Rhinolophus ferrumequinum: one gene and its partner. The protein of the gene in region 1 purifies or fractionates together with the protein of each later gene. This does not show direct contact. Links are inferred from orthologs where the notes say so. Each region holds a gene or a part of one and is shown in the gene's direction. Other genes may lie near its edges. The genes, in order: RANBP10 and RMND5A.

Evidence for each region.
Region 2: the proteins of RANBP10 (region 1) and RMND5A purify together in Homo sapiens (affinity purification with mass spectrometry; 4 studies listed by BioGRID and IntAct, counting the BioPlex papers as one, with this or other methods). This does not show direct contact. The link is inferred for Rhinolophus ferrumequinum from reciprocal best matches to the Homo sapiens genes RANBP10 and RMND5A.

What each region holds. Positions count from the first base shown.
Region 1 is NC_046298.1:17,384,167-17,388,074, reverse strand, and holds the start of RANBP10 (ran-binding protein 10), read left to right. Parts: upstream 1-1,041; 5' UTR 1,042-1,150; coding exon 1,151-1,385; intron 1,386-2,161; coding exon 2,162-2,273; intron 2,274-3,908. UniProt on the Homo sapiens protein: May act as an adapter protein to couple membrane receptors to intracellular signaling pathways.
Region 2 is NC_046296.1:7,841,249-7,845,156, reverse strand, and holds the start of RMND5A (E3 ubiquitin-protein transferase RMND5A), read left to right. Parts: upstream 1-1,569; 5' UTR 1,570-1,885; coding exon 1,886-2,027; intron 2,028-3,908.

The sequences.
Region 1 (3,908 bases):
TTAGAATCAGCCAGCAATTTGACAAGCATTTTTGTCATAAGCCAGTGGGTGAAGAGGCGGTTTATACAAGAGCTCAGTTTCAGGAATCTCACATGGCTGGATTTAAATCCTAGCTCCACCACTTACAAATATGTGTAAAATACATGATCTCTCCAGGCGCTTCTATTTCTTCATTTGTAAAATGGTGATATTACTACCTCATAGAGTTGCTGTGAGGATTAAATGTGGTTTGTAAAGCACTTGTCACATAATATACAAACAAGCTGGCTGTTACTACTAATGATGAAGTGCGTCTGTCCTTTTGCTAGCACGTAAAGCCCTCGCTGGGCTGACAAGTCATCCAAGATTCAAACTGTTTTTGTACCACCGATCCTGTGGGGCTGGAGCCCCAGGCCAATGGACACAGTCGGGAGGTGCAGAGGTCCGGATCAAATACCTTTTTTTTTTTTTGGCAGTACTCAAGCCCTCTTCGCCCTCAGCCCGGCCAGCACCTACCTCGACGTAGTCGCGAATCTGCAGCACCGCAGCTTAGGGGAGGCCATGACCCTCTGGCAGCCGGGCAGCCAGCACCCGCCGCCCGGAAAGCTGTGATAGTGTACAGCCCATCGCCATGGCGACCAGGTCCCAGCATCCCAGAGGCGAGGGCGGGGTTAGGTTTTGCCACGCCCCCGAGCCCCGCTCTCGCGAGCTGGGAAGAAGGCCAAGTAGTAAAAGTGGACTCGGACCCCATAGCGGGGTCCTCTCAGAATCAGTCACTACAGAGGATTTGATCCTAGCTACCAGAACCGAGGCAGGGGGATAAACAGGCCATGGGAAGGAAGGTGAAGTGATACGCCGAAGTCGCGTTGCCAGCGGGAATTGTAGTTTTCAGTGGTCTAAAGTCTCGGCCGAACAGACTTATGGATGAGGAGGTTTATACTACATCTCCCAAAGTTCCTTGCCACCCCGAGTTGGCCCGCCTCTGGAGAGCTCTGCATAGTGGGATATGGAGTTCGAAATATGGCGAGGCGTGGCCGTGTCCAAAGAGTGGTGCCGGACTAGGACTCGGTTTCCCTGCGGCCCCGGTAGGCTCGCGGGTCATTGGCTGAGCCGGGCGGATCTGGTCCCGCTCCTCCCCGCCCCCAGTGACACAATAGCAGCTCCCTCCAAGATGGCGGCGGCGACGGCGGACCCGGGAGCTGGGAACCCGCAGGCTGGAGACTCCTCCGGCGGGGGTGCTGGGGGCGTGCTGCCGTCCCCGGGGGAGCAGGAGCTGAGTCGGCGCCTGCAGCGTCTGTACCCCGCAGTCAACCAGCATGAGACGCCGCTGCCGCGCTCCTGGAGCCCCAAGGACAAGTACAACTACATCGGCCTCTCCCAGGGCAACCTCCGCGTCCACTACAAAGGTATTGGCCTGTTTGGCCGCGGGTGGAAAAAGGCCAGAGCGTCTGCGGGGTGGCTGTGTTTCCCAGTCCCTACCTCTTTACGTCCCTTCCCCAGCCCGGGTACTCCGAGTTAGGCCTTAGCCCCTGCGGGTGTTCAGGGTGGTGGGGCTGACCAGGCCAAGAATCGACTGCCTGGTCTGCTCTGCCCTGAGACACCCGATGTCAAGAGAACTGCAACAGGTGTCCAGACCCAGAGTGGGTTGGACCTTTCACCCGAGGGCCTTTCTGCTTGTCCTGGGATAGTTCCAACTCCAGCTGGGCTCTTCTTCACTACTGCTTTGTTTCAGCAGTGTCTGAAGAAAGGGGTGATCACATCTTCTCCATTAACCAGAGACCAATGGTCTGCTCACCCGCCAGACTGGGCCTGGGGTTCTGTGCTAAAGCTGGGGGGCAGGTGTCTTCCACGGCTTCCTCCTCCTCCCCTGGTCTCCCAGGTGGGCTGCCTGTATTTTGGAGAGACTAGCAGCACTGGGGAATCTGTCATATGCACCCACATTGCCTGTACCCTCATTGGGTTTGTATGGGAGACAGAGTCTCAGGCAGGGCTGCTATTCTTAGAAGGTGAGACAGAGGTGGGAGGTTTATGTTTTTGCTTAGCTATTGTCAGATTATTCCTTAGACTATGTAAGGGCTTCCTCTGTCCATGGAGGGGTGAAGTTGCCATGGAGCAGAGAAGAATGAGACCTTCATTTGCATTTCCTTGTGCTGAAATATCTTCCTTGCCCTCTCCAATTTAGGTCATGGCAAAAATCACAAAGATGCGGCCTCAGTGCGTGCCACCCATCCCATACCTGCTGCCTGTGGCATTTATTACTTTGAGGTGAAGATTGTCAGCAAAGGAAGAGATGGGTAAGCCCTTCCTTACCACCTTTCCCTCAACACTAAGCTATTCCCTGTGGTCAGAGTTCGAGATCTCCTGGCTGACACTTGTGACTGATGTGAGCTACTGAGCCATATGGGTCTGGACTGCAGAGGGTTGAATAGTGGGCTGCCTCTGTTACCTGACTGTGAGCATGGCCTGGTCTAAGCAGCAGACCTTGATGCTAAGTAGGTGCATTGGGGATAGAGGAGGGGACTTCTCTTTTGTGATATTGTAATGAGATACCTCGCAGGTCAGGGAAACAAGTAACAAGTTTACATTAACAATTCAGTGTCCAGAATGGGGTTTCCCCCCCACTGATGAATGGTATTTGTGACTTCCCTCCTCTCACATTCTTGCTGTGTTCAAGGTTCCTTTTTATGGCATTTAATCATAAAGAGGCCCCATTAGCCTTCAAAGGGGTAGCAGAGTCTTCCCAGCATTCATCAAAGCTGTGGCAGCCACTGGCCTGTCATCTCAGGGTAAACAACATGCACATGGTCAGAATCAGGTGACCTTGCTGCTCATAAACTTGTTTTTCAGTCCTGGGAGTTGAACACCAGTTGGACCAGCTTTAGGAAGGTCCTCATTAAAGTCAGCGTTATGGAGGGTCCCTGTTTTAGGGTGATCTAAGCAGACGCAGGAAATCAGAGGGGAGATTTTTTTTTTTTCCTTCCTTCTTTCTTATTCCAGTTTCCCCTTTTTCCAGTGATTGTGACAAACCAGGTGTTTAAGTTATGATATAAAATGATTGCAGTTGTCTTAGAAAGGCTTTCCTCATCAGACCGTAGGTCAGGTGTGGGAAGTTTGCCAGCCCCCCCAGTGACCTCCGTGCCAACTTTGCGAATGAGTTCTTGAACATTCAGAATACTTCCTTTCTCCTAGGAACTGTCCGCCTGTGGTGCATGCAGAATGCTCTGCCATGGAGCTGTCCTGGAGGCAGAACTGCCAGAGTTAGAGTTTTACCGGCGTCCTTAGTGACATTGTAACATCCCTGCTAGGGAGCGTTGTGTAATCGTGGGTAGACTGGGGGGCTTCAGTCTCCTCATCTGCCCTGTGGGGAGCTAGGCCAGCATCTAAGCTGCTTCTAACCACAGCATTCTGTGATTCTGAAATTCTGATCATGGCAAGCTATTGTATCTTTCACTTTTATCTCCATCTAGTGCATTTACAGATGGGAAACATATTATTGGAGGGCTTTAAAGCTTCTATTTTCCCTTTCCACCCACTGATAGAAGCACATGTATTTAATGTGCTTTAACTAGTGTGAATGAGAATGGCCTCTTAAACAAAACAAACATGGCAAAAACAGTTACAGTATAGACTGAAATGTTAGTGCTAGAGTCTCATATTGCCAAAGAAAGTGAGGGGCGTTTCTTAAACTTGTAGGGAGGAAAATGGATTGTTTTTTCTATAGTTCTTATAGAAAACAGTTGAGCTAGTGAGAGAGGAGAACAATTTTTCAGAAGGGAGTGTTTAAATGTAGAATCCTGGATTCTTTCAACTGGCATTTAACATTTCAGTTGTAAGTGGATCTTGCTGGAAAGGCCCCGTGTCTGGTTAGATTGCCTTACTGTAGGTGATCCCTGCAAATCTAAAGAAAGTTGGGCATCTTCTTGCAGCTT
Region 2 (3,908 bases), on another chromosome or scaffold:
TTTACATATATTATCTCATTTAATTTTCCTAAGAATCTAATGAAGTACTATTAATTCCAATTATAAAGAAGGAAATTGGGGCTCAAAAAGGTTTTGCCTTATTATTAAAAAAAAAAAAAAAGTTGCCTACTATGTTCTGTTCTGGGCACAGAACCAGAGGCCAGGGGCCTGCTTTCGTGGAGCTTTTATTGATGATGTACAGACAGAAAAGTACACGAATCAGATTTAATAAGTGGTGAGAAAATAATAAAACTAGTGCTATAATTGATAACATAATAAAGCTAATACAGCAATGGAGGAAGGAGTGCTGGAACGTAGAGGCTACATTAGTGCAGTCAGGGGAGGACCCTCTGATGTGACAAGTGAGCTGAGAACTTAGGATGAGAAAGGTGGAAGAGTTTTCCAGGCCAACGGAAAAGGTAAGTGTAAAGGCCCTCAGGCAACATTGGCTTGGCTACTGAAGCAACACTAAGGTTACTGTAGCTGAATGAAACTTAGTGAGGAAGGGTATACAGGTCAAGGTTGGAGGCGCCAACAGCAAGTCGGGAAGGATTTATGCAAACTCAATCCGAATCAATGGAATAAGGCGCCTAAGAGGCAGGGACCACGCTATCCGGCTCTGCAACGGGTTTCCATTCCGCGAAACTGCCAGCACGTGGCACCTGGGTGAAGCAACCGGTCAAGAAAGGTTCCAGGACCAGGCGCCAAAGTGCAGAGGCCCGCGAGGTGTGATGGGGGTGAGGCGGCGCGGACTGTGACCTGCTACTGGTATTGCAGGCGTCTAGGTAGCACTGACGGCCGCGCCGGGCTCTTCCTGACACGGGCCCAGTTCGACTAGCAAGTAGCTCAACCCGCCTTTAATTCTCGTTAGTGACCCCCGCCCGGCCTGCCTTGGTTTTTCCACCGCGGCGACGAGTCCGTGTTCCAAAACTTAGGAATGACAGTACCCCCGAGTGACAGGGAGATAAGATAATTTATGGCTAGGGCGAAGTCCTATGGAAGGTAGACCTTTTCCTTCCTGTCTCGTTTTTCCGCACGGTTTTCCAGAAATAACTTGCTTCCCAGTTTGCTCTCCAAGTCACCCCCTCCAACAGCGAGACTATTGGTTTGGCCCCTAGACTCGGATTGGCTGAAGGTTTACGCCTAGGCCAGGGATTGGAGGACGTTGGTCCCTTACGTATGCACCGCGCCCATTGGTTCGTTTTCCCGGTTTCTGGGAGGAGTGGTTAGGGACGGTTTCCACCCTCTTGTTTACGGAGCGCGTAGTTGTAGCGCTCTCTGAGACCTGGGGCTGCCTCCAAAGTTCCCTGTTTAGCTCCTCGGACCAATTGGGTCTCTGCTCCACCCTCCACCTCTCCCTTACACGCCTCTCGCGTGGTACGGCCCTCACCTTTAGAGCGGCGGCGCGAACGCACGCCCGCAGCGTTCCTCCGCCCGCGCTTGCTGGGCTGCTTCCCCTTGCGGGTGCGCTTGGTACGGCCCGCGCCGCCTCCTTCCTTCGCTGGGGTGGCTCCTCCCCTCTCGGGTCCGCGGCTCTTGGTGCCGCCCTGGAGAACCAGGTCATCGGCCGGTTCCCGTGAAAACAAAAACAATCGGCCGCGCGGCCGCTGGCTCCCGAACGCGGCAAGCGGGGAACAGGGACGCGGGGCCCGGTGGGGCGAGCAACCCAGAGCGTACGCAACGCGCGGGGCGCCGGGCGCCATGGGGCAGGCGGGCACAGGCTGCACGGGGCTCCGCCGGCGCCGGGGCTAGCTTGCCCGCCGCTTCAGCAGCCCGCGCCGCCCGCCTGGGGGACGAGGAGCAGGACGCGGCCTCGGCCGGGCCCGGGACGAACGGTTGCGGACACCCGGGCGCCGAGGAGCCGAGCGCCGCCGCCGCCTCCGAGATGGATCAGTGCGTGACCGTGGAGCGCGAGCTAGAGAAGGTGCTGCACAAGTTCTCGGGCTACGGGCAGCTGTGCGAGCGCGGCCTGGAGGAGCTCATCGACTACACGGGCGGCCTCAAGCACGAGATCCTGCAGAGCCACGGTAAGGCGGCCGGGTTGGGCGCGCGGGGCCGGGCCCACCCGTCCGCGTCCCTGAAGCCATGGCTGGCCGGGAGGGGTGCCCTCGGAGGGCCGTTTCCCGCCTCCACGAGGCGCGGAGATCCTCAGACCCCCGTGACTTTTCCTTCTCTTCTGGATTTGACTCGAACCTGTCCGACCTGGTTGTTAATTAAGAGTGAGCGCGATCCCACCCGGAAACCTATCCCGGAGCCGCGTGCTCCAGCCATGTTAAACCTGCGTGGGGGGTCGGTCCGCCGCACCTGCAAATCGCCGCCCTCCGGGGTGGGTGCCCCTTGCCCCGACCGACCGGGAGGGTCTAGGTGAAGAGGATAACTGCGGGAGGCCCTTTCCTCCTCCCCTGCTTCAAATCCTTTTTCGGGGGACTGACTTTCCTTTTTTTTTTTTTTTTTTTTTTTTTAAATTAGAAAGTCGAGTGTTATTCTTAGCTGTGGGTTAACAGAACAGTCGCTTCTGCAACTTCAGAATTTGCTGTGTGGAAGCAGCTCTTCAACTCCGCAACAGCGCTGACATGATTGCAAGGGAATTAGCTGAACCAAACTGGTCAGCTCTCCTAGTGTAGCCTATGATGAGACTGAGGAACAATTGGAAATTCTTCCTGAAGCAAATTGTGGCGCAAGTTGTTAGTTACTTGCCTCAATTGGTCAAGTGTTTACTTGTTTTCCTTTTAGAAACCATGTTTCCTTTAGAAGGTATTTTACCTCGGTTATTTCATTCTTGCCCTAGAGCCTGGAGCAGACACTTTGCCAAAGTTAACTTGTGGAAGCTGGTTGGGAAGGTTTTTTGTTTTTTTTAAGTGACATTAAAGGTCTGGTATCCTTACATTAAAATATTCATTGTGATGATTCCTTTTGATCAAGAAGTAGGGGACTTTTTATTTAATAGGTTCATTCAGAAGGTTGATAGAGGGTCTTTTCAAACTTGTAGGCTGAACAGAAATTTATGTAAAGGAAGATTTGGTAGCTGGGGTGAAATGCTGATACTTGTGACAGGTGAGATGAAGGCAGTGGAGCTGAGCTTCGCTCTTCTCTCCATTCTTCCACACCTACCTTTCCCAGATGGCTTTCAGTTGAGAGTAAGTGCTAGTCCATGGTAAAGGAGCCTTATAACATCATCTCATTCTGGACTTCACAGTCATTTTTGAACTCCGGGGAAGAAGCAAACTTGCAACCATAGTGGAGGTAGAAGTTGAAATATTAATATGGAAAAATTAGCAGACCTAGGTGGTTGCCTGTGAAGGGGAATGGAGGTGGAGTGGTCTGGGAATCCTGGGAAGGCTCTGGTGAATTTGGTTTTGGACATGTGAGATAAAGGGAAGGGTCAACGAGGATATAGAGTCAAGTGATTAATGTTTACTGGTGGCCGGAGATGATGCATAGATGGTGTTGGTCTGGGAAAGAAATACCATTTTTTAGCTTAATTTGCCAGAAGTTCAAGGATTGTACTGAGCTCTGATTCTTATCCTTAATCATTTTGATTAAACTTTAGATTCACTTAATTTCCCCAACTTGAGGGAAGAGAAGACACTGCTGTCATTTAGTTGTAACAGGCTTTCAATGAGAGTTTCCCTGTAAGTATGAAAATTGGTCTAATTTAAAATTCAGTATGGTTGATGCTGTTTCATTCCCAGTGTGCCCTTGACCTAATTTGGATAATGCACTGCTGTTTCTCAAACTTCACTCATACATGTGCACTGTTATTTTTCAGATGGATTTATGATTTTACTTAAGTAGATTTGTCCTCATTCTAAACAACGATATTTGTGAAGTCATAGGTTTGGTGTGATAGTATAAGTTACATGTTAAAAATAAATTCATAACCACTAAAGTATTATTTCACATACAGG